Macaca mulatta: one gene and its partners. The protein of the gene in region 1 purifies or fractionates together with the protein of each later gene. This does not show direct contact. Links are inferred from orthologs where the notes say so. Each region holds a gene or a part of one and is shown in the gene's direction. Other genes may lie near its edges.

Region 1 (7,326 bases):
GAAAATGGTCCCCAGATTTGGGTTGAAGAAGCTGATGTTTCCAGTTGTGAAACAGCTCTGCCAAGGTCACGGAGGGATGGGGGGGCAAAGCCAGGGTGTGAAACCAGGTGCTCTGTGTGGCTACAGGCACTTAACGTCACCTGGAGGCTTCCCTAGCACATTGTGAGAACCAAGCCTCAGGAACCAGAACAGCAAAACTCCTGTCACCCACAGAAGCCAGCGCTGGGGACTGCAGTGCAGATAGGCAGACATTCTTCACAGCAGCGGCAGCTGCGCACTCCATTCACACAGCAGCAGTCCCCAGGTGCTTACCGTTCACCAGAGGCTGCTCTGAGTGCTTTGGATGTGGCAGGAAACACACAAGTCTGGCCCTCACAGAGTCTGTTTGCAAAGTTAAAAGTTAAATAAATAAAGTAGATGCCAGGCAGGGTGGCACATGCCTGTAATCCAAGCCATTTGGGAGGCTGGGGCAGGAGGATCACTTGAGCCCAGGAGTTCAAGTCTAACCTGAGCAACATAGCGAGACCCTGTCTCTACAAAAAAAGCTAAAAAAGTAAATAAAATATGTAGCGTGTCAGGTCATGATCAATGCAGTCAAGAAGTAAATAGGGAGAGGAGGAACTGGGCATTGATGCCAGTGGAGGGATCTGTGGCAAGCTGAGTGGTCAGGAGTTTGCTCAGCTGCCATGACAAAGCCCCACAGGCCAGGTTGCTTCAACAGAAGAAGAGTATTGACTCAGGGTTCTGGAGACTGGAAGCCCAAGACCACGGTGTCAGCAGGGTTGGTTTCTCTCGAAGGCACTGGGTAGGGATCTGTCCAAGAGGCCTCTCTCACAGCTTCTGGTGGAAGCTGGCGGTCTCTGGCATTCCTTGGCTTAGAGAAGCATCACCCCAGTCTCTGCGTCTGTCTTCACACAGCCTTCTCCCTGTGTGAGTGCCTGTATCCACATTTCCTGCCTTTCTAAATTGAATTTATTTTTTCAAAAAAAAAAAAAGCTTTTTTTTTTTTTTTTTTTTTTTTTTTTAAGGGCCTCACTCAGTCACCCAGGCTGGACTGCAGTGGTGTGATCACGGCTCACTGCAGCCTCAAACTCCTGCACTAAGGCGATCCTCCCACCTTAGCCTCCTGCGTAGCTGGGACTAGAGGTGTGTGCCACCATGACCAGCTAATTTTGTTTTTTGTAGAGATGGGTTCTTGCCATGTTGCCTGGGTTGGTCTTGAACTTCTGTGTTCAAGCGATCCTCCCACCTCAGCCTCCCAAAACAGTGGGATTACTGGCCTGTGCCACCACGCCTGGCCTAAATTTCCCTTATTTTTATAAGGATATCAGTCACATTTGATTAGAGATCACCCTATACCAGTGTGACCTCATCTTAACTGATTACACCCCCAATGACTATATCCAAATCAGGTCACGTTCTGAGGTCCCAAGGGGTTAGGACTTCGGCTATGAATTTGGATTGTGGGGTGGGGGGAACACGATTGAACCGCTCACTGGATGAATTATTGAGCATTGGCAGCCAGAAAAAGACCCGATTGAGGCCAAAGAGCAAGCGATGTTGGGAGCTTAGGAAAGAGGATTCTGGCCGAGGGGCCGGGGATCCCCAGGTCAGTGCACACCTGCTCTGCACCAGCTGCTCTGATTCTAGCCTGACTGAATGTGACCATGTCCAGAGAGAAGAGGAAAGCGGAGTTCCCATGGTCCTTGGAGACACCTGTCCTTGGGAGGCATCAGAGCTTTCCCCAGCACTTGGCTCTAGGGCGCTTCTCCTCTGGGGCTTCATCCAGGGACGGCAGTAGGTCCAGTCAGTGACAGCCTCAGCTCTGCTCCACCGGCACCAGGGTCACGGTTTGGCAGGTCCCCAAATACTGCCCCAGTCCAGACGGGTCTGCAGCAAGCCAGGGCAGGCCCGGACACTGTAGGGGAGGCTGGGGGCCCAGGCAGCCTCTTTTTCTCTGGGGACAGCACTGGCAGCCCCTGACCCACATTGTGGGGTGGCCAAGTGTCCGCAGAGCTCCTGCCCACAGGCTGATGGAGGTGCCCCGGGCCTGGGAGCAGCACGGCTTCCCCAGAGACCTCTTGGGCCCCGTAGTGACATGCTCCCTCGATTCCCACCGCTACCGGGTGGAGCTGGCCTCCAGCCCCACACTCCTCTCCTCATGGGGCTCTCCTGTTCCCCTGCTGGGCTGCCCGCTGCCCTGTGAGCAGGGGCAATGTCTGTCGTTCCTTCTCTGGGACATGATAGGAGCTTCTCAGAGGATGCTGTGTGTTCTCGGCACACAGATTCTGCCCAGTGACTCCTGAGTGGCGGTTTCTCCCTGCGTTCTGGTCTCAGTTACCTTGGCTCATCAGTTCTGTGCCCCTCCCTCAAAGGGAACGAACTCCTTTTGCACAGGTTCAAGTCCCCACCCTTCCCGGGCACACAGCTCCTGCTCCCTCTGTTCCTGCTCCCTCTTCTCCTGCTCCCTCTGCTCCTGCTCCCTCCTCTCCTGCTCACTCCTCCATATCCCAGCCTGCTGATGAGGCTGTGAGTCCTGCCAGGCTGCCCCTTCACAGGCAGAGGGGTTCTGCCGTGGTCCTTTTTTTTTATTTTTGAGACGGAGTCTCACTCTGTCCCGCTGGCTGGAGTGCAGTGGCGCAATCTCGACTCACTGCAAGCTCCGCCTCCCAGGTTCACACCACTCTCCTGCCTCAGCCTCCCCAAGTAGCTGGGACTACAGGCGCCCGCCACTGCGCCCGGCTAAATTTTTTTTGTATTTTTAGTAGAGATGGGGTTTCACCGTGGTCTCGGTCTCCTGACCTTGTGATCCGCCCGCCTCGGCCTCCCAAAGTGCTGGGATTACAGCGTGAGCCACCGTGCCCGGCCCCGCCATGGTCCTTTTTCTCCTTCTGGGCCCGTGGGGTCTGCACGGCTGTCAGCGCCAACCTGAGAAAGCACTGAAGGCCTTGTCTTGCATCGGCCTGCGGGCTCCCCTCACTGCCCTCTCCACACGAATGATGAATGTACCATTTTGACAAAGTATCCAGAAGGTTCTCTTCAGTTTTCTTTGATTTTGCAAAATAAAAATCCAAAAGGTGTTGAGTCATTTAATATTGAATCCTTGAGTGGATTTGAGTACAAACTCGGGTTCCTCCATCAGGGCTTCCGTGGCAAGCTTGCTCTTTGGCAGGGGCGTCTCGTGGAGTCTCGTGCGCTCCCAGTAGCTCCCAGCTTGCTTGCCCGCTGCAGCACGGACTTCTTTCGGGCACCAGGACCTATCTCTGGCACTGGCTCATTGTCCAGCACATCAGAGAGGTAGCCACCCACAAGCGTCAGGCCCTCAGTTGCTGGGCTTTGTGACATAGGAGTCACACTTGCCTCCTTGAGGATGGTGAGCACCCAGTGAGGAAGCGCTGCCAGGCACCCCGGCTCACGGCCCATCACGCAGTGAGCTTGCCACCATGCGGCTGCAGGTGGTGAGTGTCAGTGATGATAATCGTTCCTTGCATGAATTCTTACCACACAGTGTTGGCTTTTCCTAACCTAAAATTTAGCACCTTCCTCAGTGCTTTGGCCACGTACCTGTCCTAATCTCAGAAAGTGGTTGTGTTCTCAAGGTGTCGTATGCTCGCCCGAGCTCAGAGGTCATCAAAGATGCCAACTTGTACATCAGCGGGCTCCCTCGGACCATGACCCAGAAGGACGTAGAGGACATGTTCTCTCGGTTTGGGCGGATCATCAACTCACGAGTCCTCGTGGATCAGACCACAGGTACCAGAGGGGCCCGAGATGTGTGGGGAGGGTGTTCTCTAGGTGGGGGCTGGGTTTTCTAGGGAAGGCAGATCACTGTTTGATTTTAAATGTCATTAGTTATTCTGCAAAAGAGGACAACACCAAAATGAGAAGACGTTGACTTTGGTTTGAGAAGGCTGAGGAGGTAAGATGGCATTAAAAGAAGCTGGAGATGGCTGGGCGTGGTGGCTCACGCCTGTAATCCCAGCACTTTGGGAGGCCGAGGCGGGTGGATCATGAGGTCAGGAGATCGAGACCAGCCTGACCAACATGGTGAAACCCCGTCTCTACTAAAAATACAAAAAATTAGGTGGGCATGGTGGTGGGCGCCTATAGTCCCAGCTACTCGGGAGGCCGAGGCAGGAGAATAGCATGAACCCAGGAAGCGGAGGTTGCGGTGAGCTGAGATCATGCCACTGCACTCCAGCCTGAGTGACACAGCAAGACTCCGTCTCAAAAAAAAAAAAAAAAAGGCCGGGGATTAGGCCAGCGTTTCATGTATGGTGAAGACACCAAGAGATTCTAGCACCTTCCCTCAAGCACCCAAATTCCTGGCCTTGCCCATGAACGGGGTGAAAAGGACACTGCAGGCTGGGTGTGGTGGCTCATGCCTATAATCCCAGCACTTTGGGAGGCCGAGGCAGATGGATCACCTGAGATCAGGAGTTCGAGACCAGCCTGGCCAACATGGTGAAGTCCCATCTCTACTAAAAATACAAAAATTAGCCGGGTATAGTGGCAGGTGCCTGTAATCTCAGCTACTCGGGAGGCTGAGGCAAGAGAATCGCCTGAACCCACGAGGCGGAGATTGCGGCCAGCCGAGATTGCACCACTGAGCTCCAGCCTGGGCAACAGAGCAGGATTCCATCTCAAAAAAAATAAAGGATACTGTAGCCAGGTGTGGTGGTGTGGGCTTGTCATCACAGCTGCTCAGGAGACTGAGGCGGGAGGACTGCTTGAACCCAGGAGTATACAGCTGTGGTGAGCCGTGATCATGCCACTACACTTCAGCCTGGGCAACAGAGCAAGATGCTGTTTCTTTTTTTTTTTTAAAAAAAAAAAAAAAAAAAAAAAAGGCTGCTACACATTTGTCCACTGTGAATTTCATTGCAGGCATTTGGGGTGCAGTAGTCTGATGGCCCAAATCCCCAGAATTCGGATGCCCTTCTCTGGGGAGCACATCTAAAATGCACAGAGCACATGGCAGTGAATTCCTCTAATGGGCAGGCAATCCTGGCCACTTTGCTGGCCCTTCCATGCTGTCTTGCCATTGGACATGGGCATGGGGCTTTGTGTGACGCCATCAGGCAGAGATGAGCAGGGGACATGTGCACATCCACGGCTGTGCTCCGGCCCCACTTCCTGGCCCGCCTGCCGCACTAGGCTGGGAACCAGTGCACCACCACATCCTTTGCCAAGCCCTGCATGTGGCCCCGCCTGGGGGATGGGGAGCTCGGGCCACCCTGAGGGGATTTAGAATCGCTTAGCTCTGTTTGGGGCAGGAGCAGGAGTGTGCTGACCAACCAGGAGGGAAGAGTCCGCTCCCCAAGCCCAGTGAGGCCTGTGCGTTCGTTTTAAGGGTGGTTTTCATATTCCTCCCACACAGACTGTGCCCCACCTTGGCTGTGATGTTGAAATAACACCGAGTAGTCGGGCCACAGGAAGTCGTGCTCTGAGGTGACCTCTTTTCGGGAGAACAGCAGCACTCCCCCAACAGCCCAGAGCCTTGCCTTTCATGTGCACACAGGTGGGGCCTTCCTGGCCTGCAGGCTGGAGGGGCATGCACATCGTCCTGCATCCCCTGAGCTGCGTGCTTTGGGGTGGGCGGCCTTATCAGTCTCTCTCCCTCCTGGCCGGCTGTGGGAACCCCACCTGGCACGCACCGGCCCTGCTGCTGCCGGCCTTCCGTCCCGCTGGGGCCCGAGGAGGGGAAGGGCCCCTGTGCACTTCACGGGGGCTCTGGGGGCTGCCTGTAGCCTAGCACAGACTCGTGCCCTGGCACCCAGCAGTGCCGAAGGACGGGGCTCACTCGCACGGCCGCCTCTATTCTGTCTTCGCTCTGGGGAGAGGGTCGGGGGATGCCAGTTACTTGGTGTAAACTCCCCTGATTTGTACCAGAAGAATCTCCTGTGGTTCCTGAAGTCCCCTCACTTACTTTCAAGTGCTAGCTGAAAGAACGATCCTGTCGGTGGGCCAGTGTGTGGGTTCCTTGCCCCCCACTTTGCATTATGGCATCTGAACTGGCTGCGCAGGGCCCGGGGCTGGGGAAGCTGACCTCGCCGGCCCACAGTCCACTCTCCTCCTCCTCTAGACCCCACATGCACGGCTTTGCCTCGGCCTCTCTCTGTCCAGTACGGTCCTGATGATGGGAGCCTACACTCCACTTGGAGCCCCCAGTGCCTGAGAGCATGCCTCCAGCCACCCAACTCTCCCGGGGCCTTCCCTAGTCTCTCAGGCACACACAGGCCACAGGCAGGGGGAACTCACCTCTGCACACAGCTGCTGGGGGCATTGCTTCCTTTCCCTCTGCAAGGTAGTGTCTCCCAGGGTGTTGGGGGCACCTCAGTATCGCCCGCCAGGTCAGCTGTGAACCTCAAGGTGGCATAAGCAACCTTTGGCATCTTTGTAGAGGGGTGAAGGAGGCAGAGAAGGGAGCCAGGAGGGTCTCCCTGGCTCTGCTTCCCACCCCAGGGTGCAGAATTGGTGGGAAGGTGAGGCTCCCATCCCAGGGCTATGGCTCCCTCTGCTGGGGACAGAGGGTGCCTGTTCCTGGGACCTCATGAGGCGCAAGGCGGACAGCAGGGAAGAGAAGTGTGTGGCAAACCAGCCTGTGTGGAGTTTGCCTTCCTGCGATGGGCTTTTCAGTGTTAAATAGACGAGGATGGCTGGGCGCGGTGGCTCACACCTGTAATCCTAATACTTTGGGAGGCCGAGGTGGGAGGATTGCTTGAGCCCAGAAGTTCAGAACAGCCTGGCCAACATAGCGAGACCCCAACTCTTTTTTAAAAAAAGAGAAAAAAATCCCATCTTGAGCTGAAACAGCTTAATTTTTTTTTATTCCTTTGCTTCTGTATCCATCTTAATTGTGAACGTTATAGTGTGTTCATCTGGAGATTATGCTGTTTCTTGGACTCTGCTGTTAAATTCTAAAAAACACAAGGGGGCTGGGCGCGGTGGCTCACGCCTGTAATCCCAGCACTTTGGGAGGCCGAGGCAGGTGGATCTCCTGAGGTCAGCAGTTCGAGACCAGCCTGGCCAACATGGCAAAACTCCATTTCTACTAAAAATAGGCCAGGCGCGGTGGCTCACGCCTGTAATCCCAGCACTTTGGGAGGCCGAGGCATGTGGATCACGAGGTCGAGAGGTCAAGACCATCCTGGCCAACATGGTGAAACCCTGTCTCTACTAAGAATACAAAAAATTAGCCAGGCTTGGTGGCGGGCACCTGTAATCCCAGCTACTGGGGAGGCTGAGGCAGGAGAATCACTTGAATCTGGGAGGCGGAGGTTGCAGTGAGCCGAGATTGCACTATTGCACTCCACCCTGGGCAAA
Region 2 (6,628 bases), on another chromosome or scaffold:
GTGTGTGCACATGCTTGTGTGTGTGTGCGTGTGTTTTCCCAGACAACACCAGAGTGGAGTCTTTGGGGAATAGGAATAGGTACCAATACCTCCATTCCCAAAGTTTGGGAGCTTTTCATAAAAACCACCTCTCTCTTTCCCTTGACACTAAAGAAAACGGTGGAGACACAGAAATGTAGGATTCACGCAGAGTTTGTGCAGCAAAAAAACTTCCTGGTTGAAGAAGAACAGAGGCAGCTGCAGGAGCTGGAGAAGGATGAGAGGGAGCAGCTGAGAATCCTAGGGGAGAAAGAGGCCGAACTGGCCCAACAGAGCCAGGCCCTGCAGGAGCTCATCTCAGAGCTAGAGAGAAGGCGCCAGGGCTCAGCACTGGAACTGCTGCAGGTGAGACAGGGAGGGGTTCCCTTCTACTATTCCGGGAATAACTGAAAAAGACCAGAGCTATCTGGAACTGCCATTCGAATAAATGGACACCTGGTCCCTGGAATGTTCTTAAATAAAGTAGAATTCAAACCCACGAATGGTTTGCATTCAAGGCACAAAGTAAAGATGAAAATAAGTATAGGACCTTTTTAAAAATCAATGTATGTTGCACTTAGAATCATCTTGCATCCACCAATGATATGTTTGCCTCACTGTACGAAATGATGGACTAGATCGTCTCACAAGTCCCTTCTGTTCTAACATTCTACAGTTCTTTCTTCACCCCTGTTCACTGTGACTCAGCGTGGTCATGAGCCATTGCTTTCTGGTGTGTGCAGAAAACCTAATTGTATTGGGTTGACTTGACAGGCTCTCTTCTGCCCAAACCAGGCTTTCTTATTTATTTATTTATTTATTTATTTATTATTTATTTATTTATTTATTTTGAGATGGAGTTTCACTCTTGTTGCCCGGGCTGGAGTACAATGGCGCGGTCTTGCCTCACTGCAACCTCCACCTCCCGGGTTCAAGCGATTCTCCTGCCTCAGCCTTACATCACCACACCTGGCTAATTTTGCATCCCTAGTAGAGATGGGGTTTCTCCATGTTGGTCAGGCTGGTCTTGAACTCCCAACCTCAGACTCCCACCTCAGCCTCCCAAAGTGCTGGGATTACAGGTGTGAGCCACCATGCCTGGCCATGAACCAGGCTTTCTAACATACTTTTAACTGAGTCTAGGATCCTGCTAGCTCCCATGTAATGGCTCCCAATCCCTATAACAAAAATATTTTCAGTGATTTGGTTTCACATACAGGAAGGGGCAACATTAAGTACCCAAGGGAACTTTAACTAACCAACCTTTCCTTCCCAAGCAATGCTAGCCCACAAATGGAACAGAGCAGTTTCTAGACACCTGAACTTGGCCATTCTCTGCCTGTGATTGGGCTTAAGCCAAGCTGGGCTATGTGCCCTCTCTGCCCTCCTTTCTTTCTACCCTGGGGGAAAAAAATCTGGTCTTTGAGTCAGAGTCCTCAAACTGATAATCCTTCCCCAGCTGTAGGTCACATCCATGCTGGGCTTCTGGTTACCTCACAAGCATCCACACATCCTTTCTGCTTCAAGCTGGTCAGAATCATCTTTGGGGCTTTGGACCAGAGGAAGGAAAGGAACAGTTCCCCAGGGACCACAGATGGATCACATCACCCACAGGGCTAATGTCTCAGTGGCAATCCAGCAATCCAGAACTTACTCTGTGTCTCTTTTCTCCTCAGGAGGTGATAATTGTCCTGGAAAGGTAAGGAGGAGTTTTCTTTTTTAGAAGAGGGGCCAGCAGAAAGCATATATGCCTATGACAAAGGTTATTGAATTAGAAATACATGCACTGAAGTTTTCCCCATCTGGCTTCCTATTCTCAAAGACTTCATTGTCTATAAAATATTTTCTGGTCTCAGAAAGCTAATAAGTGGACATCTTAGTTGGTGATTGCCCACAGTAGTTGGATCGTAACATCTTCACACAGTAAAGCCCTGCCAAACAGGGAAATCCTGGGAAGTTCTGGGTCTTTCCAGAATTCAGACTACTGGAGCATGGCCAGCTGGAACTCCTTTTCTCAGTGGAATCTAACAAGTTACCTCCCAAAAAGAGCCATGAGTCAGACCCACAGTGTGGGCAAGACTCCTTGAGGTTCCTTGCAGAAGTGATTCAGCCTGTCTCAGATGGATTGCCTATAAAATGAAATTGAATGCATTTGCCAGGTGACCTCAGGCTTAGAGAGGAGAGACAGACTGTCCACATGCTGCAGCCTATAACCAGGAACTCCTGGGTAGAAACTAAATCCTGCATTGTTTGCCTCTCACACCCACCCCTGAAGACTTGAACACCAGAAGTGTTTGTAAATTTGAGTTGAATTAAATTATCAGAGTCCTCCTCCACAATGGAGGTTATAGTGTTAGGGTTTGGGATAGGAGTAAGAGACAGGAGTCTCAAACTCTCTTTCCCCCAGGAGTGAGTCCTGGAACCTGAAGGGCCTGGATATTGCCTCTCCAGAACTCAGGAGTGTGTGCCATGTGCCAGGGCTGAAGAAGATGCTGAGGACATGTGCAGGTGAGGCAAGCTCTAGGAATTTTGCGGGGGATAATGGGGGTGCAGAGTAGATCCCAGGGTCAGGGAGCCTGGATGGCAACTTGGAGGAGAGATGGAAGGTCAGAGCAGGGGGAGCAGAGATGGAGGTAAGGAAGATGGTTTCTTCAAAGGTCAGGACCAAGGCAAGAACTGGCTGATGGTCATTTCCTCACACAGGGAGGTTGACCCCTCATGCTTGCCCAAAATCCCCCCACCACAGGCACAGAGTTAGTGACTCCCCCCATGCAAGACATGACTATGGTCCTCTCTCTGCAGTCCACATCACTCTGGATCCAGACACAGCCAATCCATGGCTCATACTTTCAGAAGATCGGAGACAAGTGAGGCTTGGAGACACCCAGCAGAGCATACCTGGAAATGAAGAGAGATTTGATAGTTATCCTATGGTCCTGGGTGCCCAGCACTTCCACTCTGGAAAACATTACTGGGAGGTAGATGTGACAGGAAAGGAGGCCTGGGACCTGGGTGTCTGCAGAGACTCTGTGCGCAGGAAGGGGCACTTTTTGCTTAGTTCCAAGAGTGGCTTCTGGACAATTTGGTTGTGGAACAAACAAAAATATGAGGCTGGCACCTACCCCCAGACCCCCCTCCACCTTCAGGTGCCTCCATGCCAAATTGGGATTTTCCTGGACTATGAGGCCGGCATGGTCTCCTTCTACAACATCACTGACCATGGCTCCCTCATCTACTCCTTCTCTGAATGTGCCTTTACAGGACCTCTGCGGCCCTTCTTCAGTCCTGGTTTCAATGACGGAGGAAGAAACACAGCCCCTCTAACCCTCTGTCCACTGAATATTGGATCACAAGGATCCACTGACTATTGATGGCTTTCTCTGGACACTGCCATTCTCCCCATTGGCACCACTTCTCAGCCACAAACCCTGCCTATTTTCCCCATGAACTCTGAACCACCTTTCTCTCTGCAGAGGCATCTGGATCCCAGCAAGCGAGCTTTAGCAGGGAAGTCACTTCATCATCAACATTCCTGCCCCAGATGGCTTTGTGATTCCCTCCTTATATTTGGCCCAAACTCATCTTGATCAACCAAAAACGTGTTTCTGCCTTCTTTATGGGACTTAAGTTTTGTTTTCTCCTCTCCATCTCTAGGGTGTCATCTTTGATGAGATCTCTATTATATCTTGTATGGTTTGCAAAAAGACTTCCTAAAAGTAAAAAATAAAATTTAAAAAACCGTGTCTCAGTCTATCTCATTCAGTCCTCGTTCCTTAATCCTGAAATACTTGATAACTCTGAATATGATTAATAGTAACGTGTCTTTAACATTGCACGTTTTTTTCCTGCCTGGGCTGTCCCCTCTTCTCCATTTGAAATATTTGATCTTGGACTGAAGACCCAGGTCAAGAATCTTCTGTACTTCCCCATTACAGCCTTCCCCATCATAGCCGCTGTGGTGATAGAAGGCCATCTGGGCTCTGATCGCTGCCTGAGGGGATATTACCTCCTTACCATGATGGAACACCTGCTTTTGAAATACAAAGTTCTCCTAGGGTTGGGGTAGCTCTGTGGACCTCTGCATCTCTGACCCTCACGGACCTGAAGCACCTTCTGTCCATGTTCTCAGTAAGTGACGAGTGATAACATCAAAGTTCCTGGAGCTCTCTGTCCCTGCAAGGTCAAGGCTGGGCTGCCCTATGCTTTCAGTATTCTTCTAGAAAACTGGCCAACTCCTGTGCCCCTTGGAATATCCAATTTTAATGATATTTCTCTCTGGAATGCGTCTTTCTTGGGCAAAGTTTTCTGACTAATGCTCACCTGCTACTCACCTGTTGTGTGGCCCGGTTCCTAACAAGCCATGGACCTGTACCAGTCCACGGCCAGGGGGTTGGGGCTCCTGTTCTTAATGATCAGGAATGTGTAGTTTTTTACATTTTTTATTGACATATATGTGCATTCAGAAAAGTGCACATAGCATTCACATCAATGATTCTTTTTGTAAAAAGTTGAATGGAATCCTGTAATAGAACCCATACAGAACCAGAACATTCCCAGCACCCCAGCAGATCCAGATGAGCTCCCTTCAAGTCACAGCCCACGAAGGTAATCACTATCCTCACATATACAACTCGATTTATTTTGATATTTTGAATCCTGTGTAACTACAGTACCCATTATTTTATGCCTAACTTCATTTTTTTTATTCTATTATACTTTAAGTTCTAGGGTACATGTGCAGAACGTGCAGGTTTGTTACACAGGTATACACGTGCCATGGTAGTTTGCTGCAACCATCAACCTGTCATCTACATTATGTATGTCTCCTAATGCTATCCCTTCCCCAGCCTCCACACCCTAAAAGGCCCTGGTGTGTGATGTTCCCTGCCCTGTGTCCAAGTGTTTTCATTGTTCAATTCCCACCTATGAGTGAGAACATGCAGGTGTTTGATTTTCTGTCCTTGTGATAGTCTACTGAGAATGATGGTTTCCAGCTTCATCCATGTCCCTGCAAAGGATATGAACACATCCTTTTTTATGGCTGCATAGTATTCCATGGTGTATATGTGCCACATTTTCTTAATCCAGTCTATCATTGATGGACATTTGGGTTGGTTCCAAGTCTTTGCTATTGTGAATAGTGCCACAATAAACATACGTGTGCATGTGTCTTTATAGTAGGGTTCAATCAGTTGAACCCTCATTGATATGAAAGCCAGGACTGAGGTAACAGCATCACCTGGTGACAGCATACTTTAAGTTTTTAAGGTTGGAACAATAAAGCTCTAAACTTGAATCACAGTATACTGTGAAAGAGCCCTAGCATTCCAGGAACTCTGATTCCTTAACTAAAATAGAGTCTCAGTTTGCCCTCAGCACCATATCTACTCAATATTTCATGAAAAATTCAGATACTGTACAAAGAAGTCAGTGACTTTGAAAAGACTTTATTGATCAAAGAGTTGCTTCTAAGGATGAGTAATGGTCTGTCTTTTAACATAGGACAGAAAAGAATCCTATGAAGAAAAGATAAAAAGAACAGAAAAGACCCAGGTCCTAAATCCTCAGATGACAACATTACAGAGCTAAATCGAAATAAATGACAAAGTCAACCAGTTCCTTGGGTAATAAACTGGAGCAGGAACATGGAAGAGAATTAATGTGTGTGCAAATGAGGAGGTACTGGGGAATGGTGGGCTTGTATTTGCTAGGTTCATGGAGAAAATGAAGAAAAAGAAGGGTAGATTATAAAATCAGCTTTTCTGCTTCTCTGTGTTTCTGCCTTAGAGCTGACCAGTATAAATGATGGTTTTCTCCCTTTCATTGATATACCAGTGAGAAGAGACTGTCATAATGACATCAACCTAAATCTCAATTCTCAAAATCTGAATACCTTGGGATATCAGATTACCTTTGTACTTGGAGATATACATTATACAGATGATATACTTCCCTTGATCTCCACCAAAATAAATCAACTGGTAGAGATTTCAAAGAATCTCAACTTTTACGCCCACCAATAGTCACTAACAAGTAATCCAGGTACACCCTTGCTTGCCACATAAAAGTTCTCCTGAGAAATGAGGAAAGACTCTATCAGCACTAATTCTAATTCTCATTAATATTGTCCTTTAAAATTCAAACAAACTAGTTGAATTTTCTAATCTCTTTTGATTCTACAACTTCCTTTTGAATTAGGAAAAATAGATATTATACTGCAATTTTAAAGACAAAGTCAGTAAAGTGGAAAAGGAAGAAAATTTAAAATGTATCCTCTGCTTATTTTGTCTCATGTATATTCAAGGTCCTGTTCATACTTTATTTTATTTATTTTTATCATAGGCCTATGATAAAGGTACAATCAAGACAATAAATGCAATGATTATGACACCCTCCCATATCTAATTTAAAATAAAATATAGTCCAAATGATATCAAATATATGTATATGATTACATTAAGATAGAGTCTATCTAAGTGTTTTAACTGTAATGCCCTAGTAAGTAAAGTTTTCTTATGGTTTAATTGGGTTACCTCGGTTTTGATAGTCCTTTTTCTGGCACCCTAAGGATGTGCCAGGAAGAGTCTCTGAGAGAATAAGTAACTTACCC
Region 3 (7,326 bases), on another chromosome or scaffold:
CTGTTGCCCAGGTTGGAGCGCAATGGCACAATCATAGCTTACTGCAGCCATGACCCCCTGGGCTGAAGGGATACTCCTGCTTCAGCCTCCCAAGTACCTAGGAGACTACAGGTGTGCACCACCATGCCCAGCTAATTTTTAAAAATTGTATTTTTTGGAACAGGGTCTTGCTGTGTCACCCAGGTTGGTCTCGAACTCCTGGGCTCAAGCGATTCTCCTGCCTTGGCCTCCCAAAGTACTAGGATTATAAGCATGAGCCACTGCATGCAACTCATCTGATTTTTAAAGGAGACTTGGGGTTGGTGTACAGGACCAAAAATGTTTAGAACCACAGTCCTAGAAGTTAGGTGGAGCTGTCTCCACGCCTTTTTCTCATGTAGGGGGATTATAGTACAGTGTCATGAGTCTATCGTCTGTCTCCAGCAGCCTGAACAGCCAGAGAGGAAGAACTCCTGAGGGTGTATAACTGTTTGGCATTTCTGGTTGCAGTTGCTAGCCGTTAGTCCAGTGAGAACATCATATCACTTAAAATTCCACGCCCGAAGTGTGTAGGTGAGAGTGTATGAAAAGCACAGAATAGGCTTTTGTGCAAAAGCATGTAATTCATGTTTTTGGCCCACTTCCCCCTGGGGCTACTCGCGTTTTGTACAGCCAGGGCCTGTCAGGGTGTGCTGACTCCTCGTCCTCACCTTTCTTCCCCAGCTGCAGTCTCACCTGATCCCTGGCCTGAACCTGGCTGCTGTAGGTCTTTTCCCCGCCTCGTCCAGCGCAGTCCCGCCACCTCCCAGCAGCGTTACTGGGGCTGCTCCCTATAGCTCCTTTATGGTAGGTGGAAGGTCTTACTACACGGGACCCCTGGGCCCATATGTGGCCTGCCTTAGGGGGACCCAACACCCTATGGGAGTTGGCAAGTTTGCAGGGAGAGGGAAGGAAGGTCTCATGGGCATCCCTCCTCTCCAGTGCTCCTAGCCACTGGCTCTGAGGCTCCCAAATGTCTGCCTAGAAAGTTCCCGGGGCATAGGCAGCACTGTAACCTCACTCTTTCCTGGCCTCTTCCCTTTAGCCCTGCTGGGCATTGGAAGAACTAAAGAGCTCACAGCATCCCTTGGCAGCCCAGGGTGGCAGTTTGGTGTCTACTCCTTCCTTTTGAGGGTGCAAGGCAGGGGAGTGGAGGGTTTCTGGGCCATGCTACTTGGGCCCCCTGGTAGTAACGCCCCCTCTCCTGGCAGCAGGCTCCCGAGCAGGAGATGGTGCAGGTGTTTATTCCCGCCCAGGCAGTGGGCGCCATCATCGGCAAGAAGGGGCAGCACATCAAACAGCTCTCCCGGTTTGCCAGCGCCTCCATCAAGGTGATCTGCTCTGTGGGTCTTCCTGTTTCTGGAAAGGGAAGGGGCTCTGCTTTTATCACTCTGCACTTTCTCCCACATTCCCCCTACTCATTTGAGAATTCTGTGTGTCATGTGAGGGACCTTTCCCCCATGGAATCAAAGTTCTCTTTGTTTTTGACCTTGCTTGGTTCCCATGGGATGGCTTCAGTGCTTCTGGGTTTTCAGGCTGGGCAGGGGCAGGGTTATAACATAGAAAGAGAACTTAGGTTCTAACACCAATTGACTTGGGTTCAAATCCCAGATCCACCTCATCACCCCCTTCTCCCAATACACTATATGATCCGAGCCTCACTTTCCTCATCAGTACAATATTATGAAGCTATGTAGCCAAAGAAAGCCCTTCGCTTACATACTAACACCAAGTTAAGTGTTAGTTGTCTGTCGCCTTCCCTGGTCAAGGTCCAGGGGAGAGAGAAGGGAGAATCTGTCATAGTGAAACAAGGGTGCTGTTAAATTTTCACAAACTTAAATCCAGTTGCTTTAGTTATCTTAAAAGCTTTGAGCAGAAACCTTGATTGTTCTCCACTGGAGGTGCAGTCACTGACCTCTATCCGTTGGTCATTTCATTTGTGTCCTTGCCTGTTGGCAGGACTCCACTGAAACCTCTCTGGGAGATTGGGAGATTGGTAAGTGGAGAGAGCAGGAGGCCCTAGTTAGAAAGTGTCATTGAAGCCAGTCCTTCTAACTGACCACCTCTGCCCTTCTAATAATTCTGGTGTGCAGGCGTAATGATGTGGGCTTCAGAGTCTTTGTTCTTCCTTCCCTAAGTCTTCAGAATGGGTAGTTGGGAGTAAGGGTGGTAGAAGGGCAACTGTGGACATGGTGGGGGTTTTCCCATAGAGGGTCCTTCATTGACAAGCTTTTTGTTTTTAGATTGCACCACCTGAAACACCTGACTCCAAAGTCCGTATGGTTATCATCACTGGACCGCCAGAGGCCCAATTCAAGGTTTTGGTCTTTATTGTTTTGCAAGCTGAACATGGAGGAATTGAGGTTGAGTATTTCCCCTGAGGTAGGAAAAAGGCTGGGGCAGTTTCCCGTTAGCCATCAAGTCCTCATCACATCTTTAAGCCTTCCATGCAGGATAAAGGGCTGCAGAGCTATTTTCAAATTGACATCAAACTGGATTTCTGTTGTCTTCGTCTTCCCTTTTTAAGGTCCATAGAAGAAGATGGGAAGGAAAGAAGTCCGAGGGCATCTTATTTGCACTCTGCCTTCATTTCTAAGGAAGGCCTTTAATGCCAAATTCTTTTATGTCCCCACTAAATCCTAAGGTTCTTGGACTTCTGATCAGACAGCCAAAAAATAAACCATCAATTAGCTTAACCTAACATATGTGATGATAGAGGAGTGGGACAGCTCTCTGGGCCACTGGAGAGTCAGACAGGCCTGCTCTCTGTGTGACTTGATTAGTTGCCATTCAGGGCCTTGAAATGCTGATCAGTGCCGTGTCCAGACTCCATAGGTCTGGTTTGTAGCTTGTGAATTCCATTCCTCTGGGAACTGTTTTTTCCCTTGGGAAGTGTTTATTCAGTTACTTATAACTCATAATCTCCACCCAGGGTCTCCAGTATGATAGCTAAGCAGAAGGAGTGCTGACAAGCTGCCCACCTGAGCCTTGCCCTTCACCTGCCTTAGATGGTTAGCCCACCCAGGATGGGGAGGGCCTGTGGGCCAGAAAATATGGGCTGGAGCTTCCTTTTTCCCACTTTTCCCTTTTGTCATAGATATATGAACCACTGATTAACAATTACCTGCTCTTTTCAGGCTCAGGGAAGAATCTACGGCAAACTCAAGGAGGAGAACTTCTTTGGTCCCAAGGAGGAAGTGAAGCTGGAGACCCACATACGTGTGCCAGCATCAGCAGCTGGCCGGGTCATTGGCAAAGGTGGCAAAACGGTGAGCTGTGAGGGCCAGGTTGAAAGCCCTGGGCCATGGTCTCCAATCTCAACAGCTCTCTCTGGCCTCCTGTGCTGCTCAATCTCAGGACTCCTGATTTGCTCATTTACTTGATTCTACTCCCCAAGCTCACGTCCTGACTCTTCCAGTTTCTCCCTACTAGTTAACCCTGGTTCCTTCCTCCAACCCCACCCATGCTTTCTTGATGGCACCCTGAGCTCCTCTCTGGCCACCCCCAGGTGAACGAGTTGCAGAATTTGACGGCAGCTGAGGTGGTAGTACCAAGAGACCAGACCCCTGATGAGAACGACCAGGTCATCGTGAAAATCATCGGACATTTCTATGCCAGTCAGGTACATATGGTGCTCCCCCATTGCGGGAGGGCTGCAGGAGCCCAGGGAGCAGAGAAGCAGAGACTCCAGAGGTTGACCTGCATGACCTTGACAAGTCCTGGGGCCTCAGCCACATCTGCCTGCCTCTGGGCTAGGTTATTGCCCTCTTTGAGGTGCAGAAGTGGGATGTGTAGATGACATATTCCCTCTTATTATTCTCTAGGGAAAGTGATTTGACAAGTTTAATGTATATATGTTTCATAGATATATATGTTCTACATTAGTCCTTCCCTAAACCCTTTCTGCACTGGTTATGAAAGAAGATTGGTTTTGTTCATGGAATAATGATAACAGTACTAATACCCTGGATTGATTACTTTTTGAAATGTAGTCCCTCTGCCTCTCTCAGAATGGCTGTTCTCTCTCTGTTTTCTGCTCTTCATCCTCCCATTCCTTTCCCAGAACTCATCATCGCTATTCAGCACTTGGACAGGCCTCAGGGCCTGGAAGGGAAGGCCAATATCAGGTTCAAATTTTGCTGAACCTCAGCAAGGCAAGCAAACAGGTGGTTGACAGCTAATGGTGTTTTCCTAAAGTCTTAAATCCATCAGTGTTAGAACTGGAAAGGAACTTTGGAGACTGTTGATCACAGTTCCTACAATTCATAGAGGATATCCAGATCTTAGCAGGCTTGTGGTCTGCTGGGGCTGCTAGAGCAATTGGGGCAAACTGGCTCTTGGTTTTTTGGCTTCCAGTGCCATATAGTACAGCATCAAGTATGGAGGTTTTGGAGCCAGGGAGCTTTGACCTCAAACTTCACATATATAGCCTTTCTGCTATGTGACCTTGGATAAGTTACTTTCTCTGGTAACCCTTTGAGAAGTATTTATAAGAGGCTTTCGTTACATCTCAACAATATATATATAAAATAACAAATAAAAAAGGAAGTATTAATAAGAGCCATAAAATAATAATAATATCTAAGATTTATGGGTGCCTTTGGATATACCCAGCACTGTTTTTTGTGGTTTATATATATTAACTCATTTAATTCTCACAACAATTTCATTTTATAAATGAAGCTTAAGAGGGTAAATGTGAATCTTTAATTCAGCTGTTTTTTTTTTAAGAGAGTAAATATCCAAAGATGCACAAAGCCAGGATATATTAATATTAAACACGGAAGCAATTTTAGCTGATCAGAAGGAGAATTAAATGAAAAGCTATGTAAAACATCAAGCCATGGTTGATGGAGTTGGACCTCTTATTGACTCCACATTATTTTCCCAACCTAGATCAACTTCCTCTTTTCTTTCTTTCTTTCTTTTTTTTTTTTTTTTTTTTGGCGATAGGGTCTCGCTCTGCCACCCAGGCTGGAGGGCAGTGGTGTGACCATAGCTCACTGCAGCCTCTACCTCCCAGGCTCAAGTGATCCTCCCACCTCAGGCCCCCCAAGTAGCGGGGACTACAAGCAGATACCACAACACTCAGCTAATTTTTGTATTTTTTTTGTAGTAATGAGGTTTCACCGTGTGGCCCAGGCTAGTCTCAAACACTTGGGCTCAAGTGATCTCACTGCCTCAGCCTCCCAAAGAGCTGGGATTATAGGTGTGCATCACCACGCTTGGCTAATTTTTGTATTTTTAGTAAAGATGGGGTTTCACCATGTTGGCCAGGCTGCTCTCGAACTCCTGACCTCAGGTGATTCACCCACCTCAGCCTCCCAAAGTGCTAGGATTACAGGCGTGAGCCACCGCTCCTGGCCATATCTGGACATTTTATTCCTTTTCCTGGGGTATTAAAATGAAGCATGGATTTCTGATGATGTCTCCTAAGTTATGACCCTCTATAACAGGGGTCCGCAAACTCCGGGCCACGGACTGGTACTGGGCTGCACAGCAGGAGGTGAGCAGCGGACGAGCGGGCATTACCTCCTGAGCCCTGCTTCCTGTCAGATCAGGGCGGCATTAGATTCTCATAGGAGGGTGAACCCTGTTGTGAAGTGCTCCAGGGATGTGTAGTACATGCGAAGGATCTAGGTTGCACACTCCTTATGAGAATCTAATGCATGCTGATTTGAGGCTTCATCCTGAAACCACTTCCCCACCCCCACCTCCATCTGTGGAAGAAAAATTGTCTTCCATGAAACCAGTTCCTGGTGCCAGAACAGTTGGGAGTTGGGGACCACTGCTGTACAATGCGTAATATATTTCTGCCTAGAAACTCTAGGCATTCTGTTTTGGGTTTGGTAATGTGTATCAACTTTGTCAAATTTTAAATTCTGATGAATGGATTGATACTACTGTTTCTCCTTCCTTCATGTCCCCCAACCCCATCTCCCACTTAAACCCACCACGTTTGCTGTATTTTCCAGGGGATGCTCAGGCTCCACTGGAGGCAAAGAAATGTAAGGTCACCCCACCCCTCATTCTTCCTCTTTATCTTTCCTCTGAGTCCCGTGTGACCTATTATGTTTATTGCCTGGGTCTGGACCTGACGACCTCTCTTCCGTGGAAGGCTGTCTCCTTGGAGGTCCTCACACCCACCCTCTTGCCTGTTCTTGCTGCAGATGGCTCAGCGGAAGATCCGAGACATCCTGGCCCAGGTTAAGCAGCAGCATCAGAAGGGACAGAGTAACCAGGCCCAGGCACGGAGGAAGTGACCAGCCCCTCCCTGTCCCTTCGAGTCCAGGACAACAACGGGCAGAAATCGAGAGTGTGCTCTCCCCGGCAGGCCTGAGAATGAGTGGGAATCTGGGACACCTGGGCCGGGCTGTAGATCAGGTTTGCCCACTTGATTGAGAAAGATGTTCCAGTGAGGAACCCTGATCTCTTAGCCCCAGACACCCACCCAATTGGCCCAACATTCTCTGCCCCTCGGGGTGTCAGAAATTCTAGCGCAAGGCACTTTTAAACGTGGATTGTTTATAGAAGCTCTCCAGGCCCCACCAAGAGGGTGGATTACACCTCAGTGGGAAGAAAAATAAAATTTCCTTCAGGTTTTAAAAACATGCAGAGGGGTGTTTTAATCAGCCTTAAAGGATGGTTCATTTCTTGACCTTAACATTTTTCCAATTTTCTTCCCCCTACTTGGGTAATTGATTAAAATACCTCCATTTGCTGCCTCTTTCTATATTTACACTAATTGTTTTATCTTTATTGCTACCAGAAAAAAATGCGAACGAATGCATTGCTTTGCTTACAATATTGACTCAAGGGAAAAGAACTGTCAGTATCTGTAGATTAATTCCAATCACTCCCTAACCAATAGGTACAATAGGGAATGAAGAAGAGGGGAAAATGGGGAGAAAGATGGTTAAAACACATAATAATCCACGTTTAAAAGAAGTGCCCTTGTGGCTGATCTGTTCCAGATCACCATCTTCAAATTGGCACAACCGAAATTTCCCCACTGTGTTGGGGCTTCCCCACCACATTCACGTCCCTCTCCCGTGTAGGCTTCACATTATGTCCAGGTGCACATAGGTGGTATTGAATGCTCAGCAGGGTAGGGGCTGACCACTGTCCCTGATTCCCATCGTTCTCAGGCGGATTTTATATTTTTTTAAAGTCTATTTTAATGATTGGATATGAGCACTGGGAAGGGGACGCTAACTCCCCTTGATAAAGTCTCAGTTCCATGGAGGACTTAAGTGGCCCCAAAGGCTGCCACGGTGCCCTCACCCCAGCCCATGTGCTCCCATAAGG

Evidence for each region.
Region 2: the proteins of ELAVL1 (region 1) and TRIM21 purify together in Homo sapiens (affinity purification with western blotting; 3 studies listed by BioGRID, with this or other methods). This does not show direct contact. The link is inferred for Macaca mulatta from reciprocal best matches to the Homo sapiens genes ELAVL1 and TRIM21.
Region 3: the proteins of ELAVL1 (region 1) and IGF2BP1 purify together in Homo sapiens (co-immunoprecipitation; 3 studies listed by BioGRID and IntAct, with this or other methods). This does not show direct contact. The link is inferred for Macaca mulatta from reciprocal best matches to the Homo sapiens genes ELAVL1 and IGF2BP1.

The regions. Positions count from the first base shown.
Region 1 is NC_133424.1:8,845,732-8,853,057, reverse strand, and holds part of ELAVL1 (ELAV-like protein 1), read left to right. Parts: intron 1-3,599; coding exon 3,600-3,753; intron 3,754-7,083; exon of another isoform or gene 7,084-7,326. UniProt on the Homo sapiens protein: RNA-binding protein that binds to the 3'-UTR region of mRNAs and increases their stability.
Region 2 is NC_133419.1:71,541,617-71,548,244, forward strand, and holds the end of TRIM21 (E3 ubiquitin-protein ligase TRIM21), read left to right. Parts: intron 1-153; coding exon 154-384; intron 385-1,694; coding exon 1,695-1,717; intron 1,718-2,425; coding exon 2,426-2,526; intron 2,527-2,820; coding exon 2,821-3,389; 3' UTR 3,390-3,761; downstream 3,762-6,628. UniProt on the Homo sapiens protein: E3 ubiquitin-protein ligase whose activity is dependent on E2 enzymes, UBE2D1, UBE2D2, UBE2E1 and UBE2E2.
Region 3 is NC_133421.1:60,956,742-60,964,067, reverse strand, and holds part of IGF2BP1 (insulin-like growth factor 2 mRNA-binding protein 1), read left to right. Parts: intron 1-702; coding exon 703-825; intron 826-1,229; coding exon 1,230-1,349; intron 1,350-2,261; coding exon 2,262-2,336; intron 2,337-3,155; coding exon 3,156-3,287; intron 3,288-3,526; coding exon 3,527-3,640; intron 3,641-6,188; coding exon 6,189-6,281; 3' UTR 6,282-7,326. UniProt on the Homo sapiens protein: RNA-binding factor that recruits target transcripts to cytoplasmic protein-RNA complexes (mRNPs). This transcript 'caging' into mRNPs allows mRNA transport and transient storage.